Oryzias latipes: one gene and its partners. The protein of the gene in region 2 interacts with the protein of the main gene of each other region in a pairwise test. Links are inferred from orthologs where the notes say so. Each region holds a gene or a part of one and is shown on either strand. Other genes may lie near its edges. The genes, in order: aplf, DNA repair protein XRCC4-like and aptx.

What was found.
Region 1: the proteins of DNA repair protein XRCC4-like (region 2) and aplf interact in binary tests that used the Homo sapiens proteins (3 or more experiments, as listed by UniProt). The link is inferred for Oryzias latipes from reciprocal best matches to the Homo sapiens genes XRCC4 and APLF.
Region 3: the proteins of DNA repair protein XRCC4-like (region 2) and aptx interact in binary tests that used the Homo sapiens proteins (3 or more experiments, as listed by UniProt). The link is inferred for Oryzias latipes from reciprocal best matches to the Homo sapiens genes XRCC4 and APTX.

Annotation. Positions count from the first base shown.
Region 1 is NC_019859.2:725,297-730,920, forward strand, and holds the start of aplf (aprataxin and PNK-like factor), read right to left. Parts: upstream 3,532-5,624; 5' UTR 3,506-3,531; coding exon 3,413-3,505; intron 3,203-3,412; coding exon 3,131-3,202; intron 2,656-3,130; coding exon 2,507-2,655; intron 2,381-2,506; coding exon 2,275-2,380; intron 2,166-2,274; coding exon 2,057-2,165; intron 1,763-2,056; coding exon 1,638-1,762; intron 1-1,637. Other genes in the region: fbxo48 (F-box only protein 48), read left to right, coding at 4,558-4,860, 5,145-5,306. UniProt on the Homo sapiens protein: Histone chaperone involved in single-strand and double-strand DNA break repair.
Region 2 is NC_019870.2:1,149,721-1,155,392, reverse strand, and holds the start of DNA repair protein XRCC4-like, read right to left. Parts: upstream 3,678-5,672; 5' UTR 3,590-3,677; exon of another isoform or gene 3,318-3,589; intron 2,478-3,317; 5' UTR 2,476-2,477; coding exon 2,334-2,475; intron 2,226-2,333; coding exon 2,041-2,225; intron 1-2,040.
Region 3 is NC_019859.2:15,249,335-15,254,688, forward strand, and holds aptx (aprataxin), read right to left. Parts: upstream 3,480-5,354; 5' UTR 3,380-3,479; coding exon 3,250-3,379; intron 3,033-3,249; coding exon 2,986-3,032; intron 2,866-2,985; coding exon 2,587-2,865; intron 2,462-2,586; coding exon 2,402-2,461; intron 2,300-2,401; coding exon 2,073-2,299; intron 1,211-2,072; coding exon 1,107-1,210; intron 1,035-1,106; coding exon 880-1,034; 3' UTR 476-879; downstream 1-475. Other genes in the region: dnaJ homolog subfamily A member 1, read left to right, coding at 5,102-5,233, 5,305-5,354. UniProt on the Homo sapiens protein: DNA-binding protein involved in single-strand DNA break repair, double-strand DNA break repair and base excision repair.

The DNA of each region.
Region 1 (5,624 bases), on a different chromosome or scaffold from region 2:
TCGTCTGCATGGCGGGTTCCTCAGAACCGTTCCTTAGAACCTCAGAATCGTCTGCATGGCGGGTTCCTCAGAACCGTTCCTTAGACCGACAGAACCGTCTGCATGGCGGGTTCCTCAGAACCGTTCCTTAGACCGACAGAACCGTCTGTATGGCGGGTTCCTCAGAACCGTTCCTTAGAACCTCAGAACCGTCTGCATGGCGGGTTCCTCAGAACCGTTCCTTAGAACCTCAGAACCGTCTGCATGGAGGGTTCCTCAGAACCGTTCCTTAGAACCTCACAATCGTCTGCATGGCGGGTTCCTCAGAACCGTTCCTTAGAACCTCAGAATCGTCTGCATGGAGGGTTCCTCAGAACCGTTCCTTAGAACCTCAGAACCGTCTGCATGGAAGGTTACTCAGAACCGTTCCTTAGAACCTCAGAACCGTCTGCATGGCGGGTTCCTCAGAACCGTTCCTTAGAACCTCAGAACCGTCTGCATGGCGGGTTCCTCAGAACCGTTCCTTAGAACCTCAGAATCGTCTGCATGGCGGGTTCCTCAGAACCGTTCCTTAGAACCTCAGAATCGTCTGCATGGAGGGTTCCTCAGAACCGTTCCTTAGACCGACAGAACCGTCTGCATGGAAGGTTCCTCAGAACCGTTCCTTAGAACCTCAGAACCGTCTGCATGGCGGGTTCCTCAGAACTGTTCCTTAGAACCTCAGAACCGTCTGCATGGCGGGTTCCTCAGAACCGTTCCTTAGAACCTCAGAATCGTCTGCATGGAGGGTTCCGCAGAACCGTTCCTTAGAACCTCAGAACCGTCTGCATGGAAGGTTCCTCAGAACCGTTCCTTAGAACCTCAGAACCGTCTGCATGGCGGGTTCCTCAGAACCGTTCCTTAGAACCTCAGAACCGTCTGTATGGCGGGTTCCTCAGAACCGTTCCTTAGACCGACAGAACCGTCTGTATGGCGGGTTCCTCAGAACTGTTCCTTAGAACCTCAGAATCGTCTGCATGGCGGGTTCCTCAGAACCGTTCCTTAGAACCTCAGAACCGTCTGCATGGCGGGTTCCTCAGAACCGTTCTTTAGACCGACAGAACCGTCTGTATGGCGGGTTCCTCAGAACTGTTCCTTAGAACCTCAGAATCGTCTGCATGGCGGGTTCCTCAGAACCGTTCCTTAGAACCGTCTGCATGGCGGGTTCCTCAGAACCGTTCCTTAGAACCTCAGAATCGTCTGCATGGCGGGTTCCTCAGAACCGTTCCTTAGAACCTCAGAACCGTCTGCATGGCGGGTTCCTCAGAACCGTTCCTTAGACCGACAGAACCGTCTGTATGGCGGGTTCCTCAGAACTGTTCCTTAGAACCTCAGAATCGTCTGCATGGCGGGTTCCTCAGAACCGTTCCTTAGAACCTCAGAACCGTCTGCATGGAGGGTTCCTCAGAACCGTTCCTTAGACCGACAGAACCGTCTGTATGGCGGGTTCCTCAGAACTGTTCCTTAGAACCTCAGAATCGTCTGCATGGCGGGTTCCTCAGAACCGTTCCTTAGAACCGTCTGCATGGCGGGTTCCTCAGAACCGTCCAGGAGGAACCTCCAGACAGAGAAGCTCAGCAGGTTTTAGCTTCAGCATCTTCATCACCGCTTTACTCAACCGTTTCAGGTGCCTTCTCCTCCTCAGCATTCATCTTCCTCTTTCTCTGCTCCTCTTCCTCTTTCGATGTGGGCGTGGCCTGAACACCGCCAGCAGGTCGTTTCCTCCTCTGAAGAGTTGACTGAACTAAACACACACAAAACCCCATCAGACCAACAACATGCTTCTACAGAGCAGAACCACAACCAGACAGAACCGGTCAGTCAGATCAGAACTGGATCCGGCTCTTTCTAAGCGATCAGAGCAATTTCTGAGGAAGAGCCAAAGATGGTCTCTGCAGGACGTTGCTGTTCCGCTCAGGTGAGTCCAGGTGTTCTCTCGTGTTCTGAGCGTTCCCCTGGCATACAGAGATTCCTTCGGGTTCTCTGGTTGAATTTGGCTTTTTTACCCATGAATCTTTGCACCGTTTGCCACAGTTACCTTTGAGCATGAGGGCTGGGGTCTGCACGGCGGCCGCCATCATCCAGGCAGGAAGGGTTCGAACCCTGACCTCAGACAGAGCGGCGTGCCTCTGATCCTCCATGTTGGTCTGTGAAGATCAAAGGCCGGACTTCAAAGGACAACGAGGGTTCGAGGACCGTTTCCTTCCTGATGCTTCAGCGCAGGGCCTGACATAACGGTGTGGGCGGGGCACCCACCTGTCGGGATCTCCCGTCTGACTCCGCCCCCTCCTCTCCTGCTGGACCCTCCTGACCTTCTCCTGAGGCGGGAAGCTGCTCCTCCTCCTCAGCGCTCCGGATGCTCCTGCAGGACACAGAGACGTGAGGCAGCTCCTGCAGGAGCAGCTCTTCATCAGCTGGAGGGTCTTCCTCCGTCTGTTTGATCCCAGCTTCAAACAAAAGCGGCGCCGCCCACACCCTCCTGGAATACCTGGAGCCCACGGCCTCCACCCTGAAGACCAGCCGCCCCGGCAGCAGAGAGAGCAGCTCGCCATCGCGCAGCGTGTACCAGGATCCTTGGGGCAGGGGGCGGGGCTCCGAGGACAGGGAGGCCTGGATGAAGCACGGGTTGGCGTGGGTCTGGGGAGGGACATGAGCGCATCAGTTTGGGATCTGGGGAGGCCCGAAGACACCAGGAGGACCATCTGCAGACGGCACGGCTCCTCCTCTGAGGAGGTGCAGAGACAGAACAGAGAAGGTCAGAGGTCATCCTGGATGGATCCACATGGTTCTGATTGCCTGAAGTTCCACCTGGATCTTCTTCAGAACCGTTTCAGTAAAGCTGAACCGGACTCAAACAGATCCGGTTCTGTTTTGGTCAAACCGTGTGACGGGTTGCGTTGTTCATGTAACGTCAGTGGTTTCCTCCATCTTGGCCGGATGTGACATCATCAAACCCTGAACTGAAAGACCCGATCGGGTCGCTGTGGAACCAGAACCGTCTGGATTTTCTACATGCAAACTCTAGCAGAACCGAAAACGTGACGGCGGCGTCCTCCTGAACCTCGCCGTGTTCAGAACTCTAGGAGAGTGTGTGTCTGGGGGGGGTCGGTACCGGTTTGAGGCGCAGCTCTCCGTCCAGGTTCTGCAGCAGCCCGTGGCGTCTCGACACCCTCTTGTCGCTGATCTGGGGTGGAGACAGAAACACTCAGTCACTTGTGAGGCGATGGAGCTGAGGATCAGCGTCCCTCACACCACGTCCCCTCAGGAACTTGTCCTGAGGGGGGTACCAGCTCCAGTTCTGCGTCAGAGGTCAGGTGATCACCTGCCAGCTGTGGCAGCGGAGTCACGTGACCGTGCCCCGCCTCTGTCTGACCCGACACTCTGCGGGACTCACTGTGAGCAGGGGACCCCGGCCCAGCAGCGTCTCCCCTGGCGGAACGGGGACCGGATTCCCGCCATCCACCGGGACCAGGAGGAAGCCGGACATGAGCTCCGGAGGCGGGGGGGTCCGGCTGGCGGGAAGAGTTTATCAACACACGCGGTTCGGAAAATGCGTTGGGTCCAATTGACCCGGGTCTCTGCGGATCTGGACTATGAAATCCGGGTCTGAGAGCCGCAGGTGAATTCGGGAACAACTTCCGCTACTTTTGAATCCAGACTTCCGGTTTCCAGTGGAGCATGCGCAGTGGTGTCTTTAAGGTGTCAGCAAAAAAGTTAAAATTTCCATCGATTTTTACGAAAGATCCAATTTGAGTAATTAAAAATTGAAATAAACAAAAACTTAACATGTTCATGTCAGCCTGAAGTTAAAGTGTTGATCAGTAAACTGACCTGCGCAGAAAAAAACGTTCAAAAAAAGATAAATTGTTTGGATTTTAAGTAAGAATATTTTCTCTTTAAATTTCACATTAGATTACAAAAGTTTAAAAACAACGGAGTTTGGTTTTTTGACAGTGAGGCCTTTCTACGCATGCGCGTGGTTTAAATTCACGATGACGTCACGTCTGTGTACAAACAACCGTTGGGACATTTAAACAGTCAGCTGTCGGGATCAAACCCCGTGTCCTGTCCGCGCTTGATTACTGCGTCCCTGTGGTTCAGCGTCTCGGGAAAGAACCCGATTCCGTTTCTGCTCGGAGTTCAGACCGGAACCGGCGGCGTTTGTCTGCTAGCTGCTCTCCCCCAAAACACTCGTTTAGACGGAGGTGGGGGTGGGGTCCCGGTGGGGGGTCCCGCTTGAGCCCTGATCCGGTTCTGAGGCTTCGGTCACGTGCGCCTCCCGCCCCCACGTCCGAGGCTCAGGTGCCAAACAGAGAGCAGGTAGGACTTCTGTCTTCAGCACCTGTGACGTTTTTGAAACGTGACCGGAAGTGAGGCCACATGAAAAGGTTCTGAAGGCCGATCCGGATCCCGGACTGCTGTGGACCCCTGAGGAGCAGACCAGGTGGGTCTGAGACTACACGATCCACGTGCTAAAATCTGATTGACACCCCCATAAATGTCTTTCATCTTTCAGTCGCCCCCTCCCCCTCCCCCCTTATGATGCAGGATGAACCTGCAGAGACTCCGCCCCCACACCCGATGGAAGGAAGCCCCACCCTGATGGCAGCCCCCCCCGAACGCCCCCCTCTGAACTTTGTGGAGGCGCTTCCTCTGGAGATGAGCGTGCGGATCTTCAGCCAGCTGGACGCTGACAGCCTGTGCCGCGCCTCGCAGACCTGCCGGCTGTGGCACGCCGTCATCCAGCAGAGCGAGCAGCTGTGGAGGGGGCAGGGCCTGGTGGTGCGCGCCGTCTGCCAGAGGGAGGTGGACCGCGACAGGAGCCACGGCCATTCCTGGAAGGTGAGCCTGGTCTCCCCCCTCCCCCAATATGGCCAGGTTATAGGGGGGGCGGGGGAGTTCTGATGCCTCCCTCTGAGGCCCCTCCCTCATCACATGACCCTCATGTAAGTGAAGGTCCCTGACCTCCTTGATGATGAAGGTCATTGACCTCCTCCTCATCGCACCTCCTCATGCCATTGAGCTGTCCGTCTCCCTCTTTGCTTCTGGATAAGGGTGGAGGGTGGCACGGTGGTGTAGTGGTCAGTGCGTTCTCCCGGTTCACGTGTGGCTCCGCCCCCCTGCAGGTCACCGTGGTCAGGAACTACGCCCGCAGCCGCCTGAAGGCCGACTGGCTGACGGGGCGCTACAGTCACGTGCGCTCTGTGGCGGAGCTGCGTGGCAGGAGGATGACGCCGCTGGACGCAGAGACGTGGGGGGAGATCCTTCAGGCTGAGCTGGACAGATGACCCCCCCACCCCAACCCCAACCCTCCACCCCCACAAGAACTTGGAATGAGACTGTAAATGATCCAGACCTGAGTATGACAGAAAACACCAATTTTATTACAAAATAAAAGTTTTCTCTGGAACAGTTGTGTAGGTGTAGGCCCTGTGGGGGTGGGGGTGGGGGGGTCGAACCGGACTGAAGGTTTAGTTCGGGTCAGAACGGATGAAGGCTCGTTTTCAGCAAGTTATTAGTTATTACAAAAACCGGCTTTTATTGTGAAGGCGTCGAGCGGAAGCGCGCTGACGCCGTCTGCAACCCCCACCCCCCACCCCCACCCC
Region 2 (5,672 bases):
TGACACACACATGACACACACATGACACACACGACACCCACCTGTCACCCACCTGACACCCACCTGACACACACCTGACACACACCTGACACAAACATGACACACACCTGACACACACCTGACACCCCCCTGACACCCACCTGACACACTCCTGACACACACATGACACACACATGACACACACCAGACACCCCCCTGACACCCACCTGACACCCACCTGACACACACCTGACACACACCTGACACCCACCTGACACCCACCTGACACACACCTGACACGGACCTGACACGCACATGACACGCACATGTCACCCACCTGACACACACCTGACACATACCTGACACCCACCTGACACACACCTGACACATACCTGACACACACCTGACACACACCTGACACACACCTGACGCACACCTGACGCACACCTGACGCACACATGACTCACACATGACAAACACCGGATTCAGCTCATCATCAGACTCTCAGGCACCTGATGATGAAGGGCAGGTGTGTTTGAGCAGGGCTGGATGGAAACAAGGAAACTTTGTCACGAGTCATGTTCATGATCCTTCCTTGGTCTTCCAAACATGACGTCAGCACTTTAAGGAAATGTTGAATAAACTCAGAAAAACTGGACCCAGTTCCTCCCAGCTGGTTCTGGAGCCACCCTGAGCGGTCAGGCTGAGCCTGCATGATGTCTGATTCAGGATGGCAGCCTGGACTGATGATGTCGGGGTTGTCATGGAAACGGCTGTTTGGAACTGAAAGTCCTGTGAGGAGGAGGGAGCCCCTTAGAACTGCAGAACCTCAAAGCTGAAACTGCTTTCAGGAGAGTCTTTGTCATCAATAGATGACAAATATTACGCAACTCTCTATCGTTTATGTATATAATATCTACATTTTTCTTGAACAGCTTTAGACCAGAGTTCCCTGTAATCCAGTTCGAACCGCTTTGGCTCCGTTCATAAATCTGGAACCCAAAACCCGATGTTCCTCTCACAGACAGATGTTGTGAAACTCCTCAGACGCTCTGAAGTTCCTCTCAGCTCCGTCCGAACATTCAACGGGAAGAATCTGGAATGTGGACCTGCTCAGGTAACACCTGGGATGCTGCCCCCCCACACAGATTAGAGGGGGGAGGGTCCCACTTAAGCCTCTCATCATGACTTGGAGCGAGCGCTGAGTTTTTCCACTCCGAGGGAAACAGACACCTCTAAACTCACTCCTGACTCTCGTTTTTGTTTTTCATCCATTCATGGCTCCCTTTCCATTCGGCCGTCGCCATGACAACAGCGTTTGAGCCAAAAACATGAGGCTTCACAGCCAAAACAATCAAACACTTTTCATGAAACAAAACCAAAAGTGTGGCGATGATTTCAGGGTTTGGGGAAATGATGGAAAATCACTGAATCACTGAATAAAAGACTTTTGTTAGATGAGAAATTAAAGGATTTAAAATTCCCCAAAAGATCTTTCTAGAACATTCAGCCACAAGAATAAATGAGAAAAGAAGTAAACAGTCTGTAAGCATCAGGTAGCAGATGTTCAGCAGAAGAAAAGAGCTGAAGAACGTTTGTGACAGGCCACGCCCATCACAAACAGCTGACCGCAGGGCGCCATGATGTTGACCGAGGAAAACCACAGGCCAGCGATTGAAACGTCACCTTTACCTGTCTGACCAACGTCTGCATGAAAAGCCCCACGTCCTGACGTTTGTGTAGAGAAAGTCTGAGGGGCCGTTCGATTGGCTGAAAGCGAACACGCCTGCTTTGTTGATGAGTTTGATTGACAGATTCATTAGCCAATGGTGACATTAGTTCAGGATTTGTCAGGATTTGTCTCACTAAGGAGGTGAGGTTTATAAATGCACATTCTGTCACTCTGTAACACAAGTGTGCCTAAAAATGATCTTTGTGAAACATTTATTGTGTTTTTGTGGAACACAGAGTGCACATTTGAGAGAAACACTTACTGTGCATGCGTGAAAGAACAGCGTGTGTGTTTGTATTCTAGCCTCACACGTCTGCGTCAGGACTCACCGAGATCTCCTTCTGCATCTTCTCGTACGTCAGCGTGACGCTGCGGCCCGGCGGTTCTGGACTCAGGCTAAAGCTGTAGGGGTCCGGTGGTTCTGCTCCGGTCAGCGCCCGCTCCAGGTCCTGGACGTACTTCTCCCTCGTCATCTCCAGCTCCTCCGCCTCGCCGCCTATGGTGGCCGCGCCCACTGCGTGGTCACAGAAACGGTCCGTTTGTCATTTCCTCATCAGAGGGGTGTGCACGTAAACGTGTGCATGTGTGAGCTCTATCCCGTCATGCCGAGGGTCATCTTTACCTTCTCCACTCCAAGCATCCTGGCCATCGGTGAGCAGCACCCTGAAGCCTGATGCTAAGCTCCGCCCCTCCCAGTCCACACGCAGGAAGTAGGAGGAGCCAGGTTTGGAGGATATGTGGATCTCCCGCACAGCCGTGTTCATCCCTGCAGATGAAACCAGAGCTGGTCATTTTTCTGAAACACCAACTCTCTGTGAGGAGGCCTCATGGCGAGGACTTCCTCCACGCCACACGGCCTGAAGAGGCTCAGCGTCTCGTTTGCATTAACCTCCACCTGCAGATCTACATTCACATCTGCTCACATTTATTATTTTGACACATGAAAACCTGGAACAAGAATCCTGAGGTCCCATCGTTTAGTCTGTCATGAATCGTCCTTTAATAAACGCTGATCACGCAATAATTATCTGAAAGAAGGATTAAAATATAAAAATAAACTAGTGCAAAAATGATGTCAAAAATGTTAAGTAATTTGGATTTTGTTTAATAAAGTTTATGAAAACTGTTTTAAAACGTCACAAACGTCCAAAATATGAGTCCAAAAAATGTATTTAAAACGTAAAGAAAAAGGTCTATTTTTAAATTAAAAAATCACTAAAACTGTGAATAGAACCAAAGCATTTACAGTAATACTATACTACTACTATCATTACTAATCATTATAATAATAAGCTTTACCTCACACTCAATTGGTCCACAAAAGGGAAAATCGTATAAGGAAGAAATTAGTAAAGAAAAAGTAAATACAAAACACCCCATATATACTATATTATATACCATATACTACATATATATTCACAGATTGGTGGCATACAGGGATTCCCTCCAAATGCACGAAAGAACTCTAACCTCAGGTCTCAGTGGATCCATCAACGACACATGAGAGCAGAGGATGTTTAAACGAGGCACTTAAACTACAGATTCATCACTTAAACTACAGATTCATCAGTACAACCTGATCTGAGCAGCTCTATTAGACGCTTACCGTGACTCTGTAGTTTGAGACAGAGGTAGCTCCTAAAAGAAGCGCGCGCTCACTTCTGCACGTTCAGAACAAGTTTGATCTTTTGTCCCAAAGCTGCTACGACTGAAAACGTACCGAAAATCCCCAAAACCGGGTTACGGTCTGCGTTTCTCTACACTAGGAGCTAGCAGGCTAACAGGCTAGCTCAACCGAGAAGTGTTTGTAAACAGACGCACGTGGACGAGAGGCAGAAGACGGGCTCGCGCGCCAGTAACAGCAAAGCCACAGCTTACCAGAGGCGAACGGCGCGCGGCTTTGGATGGAAGCGGAGTTTGACAGAAAGACAGCCAAGGTGGCTGTGACGTCATCGTTACGCGACAGAATCGATGCTACTGTTTAGTGTTTGAATGACATTTCAACGTTATACATTTCAACGTGTATATATATATATATATATATATATATATATATATATATATATATATATATATATATATATATATATATATAGTATTAATAATCACCAAAGGTTTTTAAATTATCAATGGCCCAGGTGCAACACAAAACTGGCAAAATGTAAACAAAGAAAGATGAAAAATATTAATTTAGTTTTTCAATTAATAATTAATTAATTTATTAATTCAATCTAAGAACATTTAGAACACCTCTTAAAGTAAAATTCTACTGGATAAACTATTTGAAAATTTCCAACTGACTTCACTTTAGCTTTTCAACTAAAAGCCAAATTATAAAGGTGGGTCTTGAGCCTCTTCTTGAAAACTTCAGTCTCTGTGGCCCTGAGGTTCTCCGGCAGACTGTTCCATAGGTGAGAACCGTGATGGTGGAACGGAGCCCCACCATAGGTTTTGGTCCTCACCTTAGGAACAACTAAAAAAGGCAGCACTGGAGGACCTCAGGGTCAGCGAGTGCTCCTACTTTAAAAGATCATTTAAATAAGATTAAAGACAGGATGGATCATGGTCTAAAACCAGATCATTAATGATGAAAGTCTTATTTAAAAGAAACATTTAAAAGAGTCATCTTCATCGTTGTGGGTGAAATCTGATGTGAGCCTGGTTTACTGTAAGTTTTGTGACTGTTGTGTGAATTGGGCGGAGACATCTAACATGCGAGGCGCATGGGTGTGAATGGAAATGATTCGATTATCTGTTGGTGATGCGGACTGGTTGGTATATGACGCTGTGTCCTGGTTCAACCGTCAGCAGGAAATTTGAAATTCTGCTGCATTTTTTCAAAAGAAAACCAATTTTTTTTAGGTTGAGACTATCAACTACAAAGGGAAAAGTGTCAACAATTAAGAGAAAATCCAAAAGTCACCTGCATGATCAGCAGGAAAAAGAAAGAAACTGCTGCAAAACTAAGTGCAAACAAATCCTACAAATGTGAGATCCAATGCATCCACTGGAGCTCCACCTTTCAGACACAGTAAAGGTTGAAGATCTGCTGAAGAGCAAACGTGGAGTAAAGTGGGTCAGCCTGCAGCAACGCGGTCAGAAACGCCACAGGAAGGCTTTGATGCCCACCAGAGCAGCTGGAACCCTGCAGCTGCCACTTCTCTGCGAAGATCTGGGTCACATGACCCTCAAATACTTGAGAGGTTTTGACCTGAGGTCAATCTCCTGTAAAGATCTGCTATCATTGCGCCAGCATGTGTGATCCAGGAGCTGCATCGTCAGGAAACTATGCATGAACATCTTTCCTTCCAGGTGCAGCGTCTCTCTGGGGTTCAGGCTGAAAACTCTAAAAAAAATGGAAACATGCTTCCTGGTGGCATCACCCTAGGCTTGGAGCAGAGCGCTCGGCCCTATTAGCTCCAGAAGGCTCCTTGCAGATCCACGCGGCTCCTTTGGTTTGTGATCTCCGTCATTAACTGCAGCCCACTTTCATCTCCTCTCCTGCACTCAGGGATGCCTCCTTCCGCCCTCTTCACCTCCACCAAACTGCCCAGAGCATCAGACACATGTGCATGACTGTGAGCGGGAGTCCAGCTCTTCGGGCGAGATGCTGGAGTAATGACTTCCAGGTAACAAGCGTTTCCTGGTAACTGCCGAGGGCTTCATAAAGTGGCCTTCATCCTCTGCAAGGCGGCGCCCTTTGATGGCAGAAAACACTGATCTCCTCCGACCTCCGTACTGCCTTTGACGTTTATTCTGCAGTAAACCTTCATCCTCTCAGCAGCAACTCACTTTCTAAAGCTCCGGTCCATCACGAGCAGCTCCTTCCCTAAACCTTCATGAGGTCCAGTCCACAGCAGCAGGAAGCTCTCTGCTTCGACACAGACAAACTCTTCCTCGCTCCATCGGTTTTGATCAGCAGGTCAATGAATTGAACAAAAATGGAGATTTTTAGCAGCAG
Region 3 (5,354 bases), on a different chromosome or scaffold from region 2:
ATTATTATTTCAGAACAACAGATTTCATTTTTTGTTTATTGTAGATATCTCTCAGTCAAGAGCCGAACAGCCCAAGCAGACACACCTAAGCATTGAATATAAACAAAAAATATATATATATATATCAGTAGTAGTATCTACTAATGGTATCTACTAGTATCTATTAGTTATTATACTAGTAGTATCTACTATAAATTCATGTTCTACAAAATATCAGTAGGCATTTATCTTTCTATTGGTTTTCTAAAGGTTGTTTTACTACGTTTGGTAGAATGAATTTTAAAAATATAGCTCATGGTTTTTGTGTGCCACCCCAAGATTTAATGTGGCCCCCCACTGGCCACCCCCATGAAAAATTTCTGGAGGCGCCACTGAAGGGTTACCAAAATACATACGGTTTAAACCTTCTCTTACCCTTATAACTTAATTCTTCTGATTGAACACTAGATGGTGACAGAGTTATTCCATTGACACGTCTTTTGGTTCAGTACAGTTTATTCACTAATATATATTATTTGCTGAAAATCACTTAAGTCTTTCAAACTCAAAACGGTTGTTTGTTCACACAAAACCATAAAAAATGCTTCACAGTCAACACTAACCAAACAATAAAGTCAAAATGCTTAAAAGCTAAATTTGGAAAAAGGAGAACTACGTATTTAGATAACAATTATTGCAACATGTAGAGTTTTTTTATTAGGCAACTCTAAAGAATGTTGTGACATGTGATGGATAACAAGTATTTCTGAAGAATATCTGGGTATTTTGACTTCAAACTCCAACAGACAGAAACCCTGAAAAAATAATGTTCCCGCTCTGAATTTTCTAGAAAATGAGCTAACTTAGAGCAAAACAGCCCAGAATAAAAAAGTCCCACGGTTATTTAGAGAGGTGGTGCTTCAGGTGCTCTTTCAGGGCAGGAATGGTGGGACACTCTTTGTGACACACGTGACATTGGAGAGGCAATTTCAACAGCTCACTAGTCCCATCCTTCACAGAGACGCTCCCATCCTTTTCAAGCATCTGAATGACATCTAAAAAAAGAAAACGCTTGATTTTACACACAGCACATCTAAATCAATCAATAACATAAAGTCTGCTCTTACTTTCAGAATCTATGAAGTAATCTGTGGTAAAGGAATTCCAATGCTTCTTGTTCTTCAAACAAGGAGAGTCAAAGTCTTGACTGATCACGTGGAGGTGGATGTGACTGAAGAGTGTAAACAGAACGGTTCATTAGTGGGAAAATGTCAAATTCAGCCGAGATGTCCTCGTGTAACACTACTCTGATGATTTATTGTGCTCTGAAAACAAACCCACAATGAGCACATTTAAAGCAGTAATACCTTTATTTATCCAGGTAGTGATGCTTCAGCACAAGCTCTCAGGGGAATCGTTGCATCCCTACTGCATATGTTTGCATATGTTTATGTTGAAAGTAACAAATACGAGCATTGTGCTAAATTTAATATAGTTTTATCACATTACACCAGGGTCATTATAAGCAAACTAAAGGGCTTTGTTTACTGTTACTTGCTTTCTAGATAATAATAAATAAATAAAAACCAATTTTTTTTTTATTATTATTTTGTTATACACATGTATCAAAGTGAAACAACACTGTGACCTGAAAAACCAGAAAGTGAATTGTTGCATCTCTTCATTATTCTTTATTAATTTTCAACAGTATGGGGAAATTTGAGGCTGGACGGTGGGGTAGTGGTTAGCGCTCTCGCCCCACACTGAGAAGGCCCTGGTTTGATTCCCAGCAGGGCCCTTTCTCTGCTGAGTTTGAACGTTCTCCCGATGGGTTTTCTCCAGGGCACTCTGGCCTTCCTCCAAAAGCATGCATCATAGGTTTACTAGGTGACTCTAAATTGCCCCGAGGTGTGCATGTGTTTGTGTGGCCCTGCAAAAGACTGGCAACCTGTACAGGGTGTTAACCGCTTTTCCTCAGCAGTAGCTGGGACAGGCTCCAGCAACCCCGAAAGGGATACAGCGGGTTAAGAAAATGGATGGATGGTGTACTTTAAGGAGTAACAGCCCAATAAACACACATAATAAAGACTTACCTCATGCTTGGGATGGCGTGATAACCAGTCCGGAAGCTAAGTGAGCTGGATTCTGGACATTGCTTAATCATGCGCTCAGCCACCTTCTGCATGTGTTTCAGCAGATCGCAGTGTTCTGCCTTCAAAGCCTTCAGGCTGGGAATCGACTGCCATGGAAGAACCAGCCAGTGGTAACGAGCTTTGGGATACTTGTCTTTGATCACTACAACTGTATCGTCCTTGTATATCTAAAAAAAAAAAAAAAAGATCAATTAAAACAGAAACAAAACCTAAATTTAGTTTCAATTTAGACGTACGTTTATCAGTAAGTAATGTTGAGTTATAGCTACCTGCATTTTGGGGTCTTGCATTGAAGTTTTCAAGCCTTGACTCCAATGCCCAGAAATTCCCTACAAAATGTCAGTTAACATGAATTATGAGAATGAATATTTAAATAAAAACTCTCCAGGTCTGCAACAATAATTTGTATATTAGGCATAAATCACAGATTGTAGATTTCTTTGTTTCTCCTCACACTAGTTTTTGTGGCTTCTCCTGGAATGACAGCTGCAGCGACTTTTTCTGTGAGTTGTCCAGCTTTCAGGCAGTCTGTCTCTCTTTGGCTTCCTCCATTCTCTTTGACTGGCTCTGGTGGTCTTTTGGTGGCGCCCTGGCTCCCGGTGGTGTCCTCTTTGAACTGCACGGTGTATGGATAAAGGCTGTTGACCACGAGCAGCTGCTCTCCAGGCTTCATTTTGACCTCATTGCCTTTACCCACCACCAAGGAGCCGACAGAGGTGGGGTTTAACCCCAGCTTAGGGAGGGGAGAAAAAAAACAGGTAAAAAAAATAGAACAATAAAAATAATACAAAATGTACAGCAATAAGGCTTTTTATTTTGTTTATACCACTGATCATTCTTGTGAGCATGTTACCTGCTTCACTTTGACATAACCTTTGTTGCATTCAGCTTTCAGTTCAACTGATGGGAAAGTCAGGAACATTTAGACAGGTTAAAACTTTGCATTTCGTTTTACAAACATGAATGAAAATAACTTGATGCTCAAGTCATTCAATTCCTGCTGTTTTCTTAAATGTATTATCCCTGAAATCACTAAAACAATAACAGATTATTTTCCTAACATTCTTACTGAACTCACAGGAAATCTAGAGACTGTTTTTGTAGGTAACATCGTTACCTTGATGCCGGGAGCATTTTTTGTCTTTGATAGTAGTTTCTGGGCCTCGACCCACGACAACTGTCTGTAAATGAGGCAGGTGAATGGGTTTGTGATTCCCCTCTTCACTAATGAGCCAGCAAATGGGCATTTTCTCATTTCGTTACGCTTTTCTCCCTAATATTTAGCAGCGGGACACGTTTGAATGTTTGTTCAACTTGTCGCGGAGTGATGACGAACGAGGGTGCGACCGAGGAACAAGGTGGGGTGGGAAGTTCTGTCTCCTCCCAGAGTTCTTCACTTTGCGAGAGCGCGCAACAACAGCAAAATTGTGAACGACATAAAAACGTGTTTTCTTGTATAAAAATGATATCTTGTAAAACAACTTTTTATTTTTTTTTATTTTTTAGTTGTTGCTTTTTAATTTTTTGGTCTTTTTTCTTCTTCTTGGTTGGTTGGTTTGTCAATGAATGGACATTAAATCATAGCAGTTTCAGAAAATTCAACAAGGCTTGGCTCTTTTTAAATAATATTTAAAATATCACTTTTTTGTATCTAAAACTTTTATTATGACTGACTTTCTGAAACGTGATTGTGCTGAAGTTAGATTCGTTCTTTTTTTCATTTAGGTTTAAATTTGTGGGTTTCAGTCATGTTAATATTGATATCTTTTGGGAGAAAGAACATAACTCGACATGGTGCGGTCACAAGTACCAACAGTCGGGTTTAGCTGTCGACGCGCGTTCCCGCGAGGTGGACGTAGATGTCTGCGCTGCGCGCAGACAAAACTCGACACCACACCAGCAGTCGGCAGAAAGAGGGCTGCAGGAAGATTCTGGAAGAGCCGTTGTGAGCTGCAGTCTTGTGAGGGTGCTAAGCGTGGTCTTCGTTTAAGGTTGGAAAACCACTAATTCTCGAAACATGTTATTAACAACAGCCCACACGTGATTTGTTGGCTAAAAAAATTGGCAAAAAAGCCACCATGTTGATGACATACATAGCTACGACATGAGTAGCTAAATTAGCTACAAAGGCCGAATCATTGTGCCCCTCTACGCAGAGAAATCTAACTTTATCCACAGATAATGGAACAGTAGTAAGCAGAACACCAATGTTAGTCGACATGATGAGCCTGTCGGACTGCATTATATTTTCGGTGTTTTTCTAAATCCCTAGAAGCTTTCAGCTATGATATTGACCAAATGAACAGACTCTAGCAAATAACCCGTTTGCTGCTAGAGCTTCTCGGGTAAAACTGACCTGAGGAACAAAAAGTCTCAGCATTGTTTATTTGTTTTTTTCTATTAGAACAATCTGTCCTAACACACACAGCTACCGTCTCTGTTTTCTCACACAAAACAACAGAAAATTTCTAAGCCAAAAACTCCCATCATGCTCATTTACATGCCTGAAAAAATGTTTTTTTAAACAGCAATGCTCAGATCTGACGTTGTTTAAATATTTTAGTACATAATCAGATTGCTTTGTTAGCAAGTAAAGACTTAAGACTCTTTCTGTTGTTGCTTTTTTCAGCGTCTGGTTGCTTATTGGTCACATTTTAGTCAATCTTAGAATTGGGCAACACACAAGTAAGAAAATTGGACCTCATTCACCTTTGTTTATCATTTCTGAGAAAAAGTTGGCTTTTCTGCTGTAAGCTTCATCCCTTCTTTTTTTCCCTTTCACTCTTGCAGTAACTGCTATTTATTTTGTTTTTCTTATTTAGGTGTTTGTTAAAGTTCCCAATTTTGTTAACTGTCATTAACAGATAAGGACCATCAGATTAACCAGATGAGGATCAGATTTGTTTAGTGTGTGTGTGTTAACACACTGTTATTGTTTTTTCTTTAGGACTGGCCTATAAAAACCTATCATGGTCAAGGAAATGGGATTTTATGACACTTTGGGCGTTCAGGCTAACGCAACACTTGACGAGCTGAAAAAGGCCTATCGCAAGCTCGCCCTGAAATATCACCCTGACAAAAATCCTACAGAAGGAGAGAAGGTACCACATAACGCAGCTGCCACAAACGTCCTTGTTTTTCTTTTCTTTTCTTAAACGATTTGTCTTTAAAGTTCAAGCAGATCTCACAGGCGTATGAAGTGCTGTCAGACCCCCAGAAGAG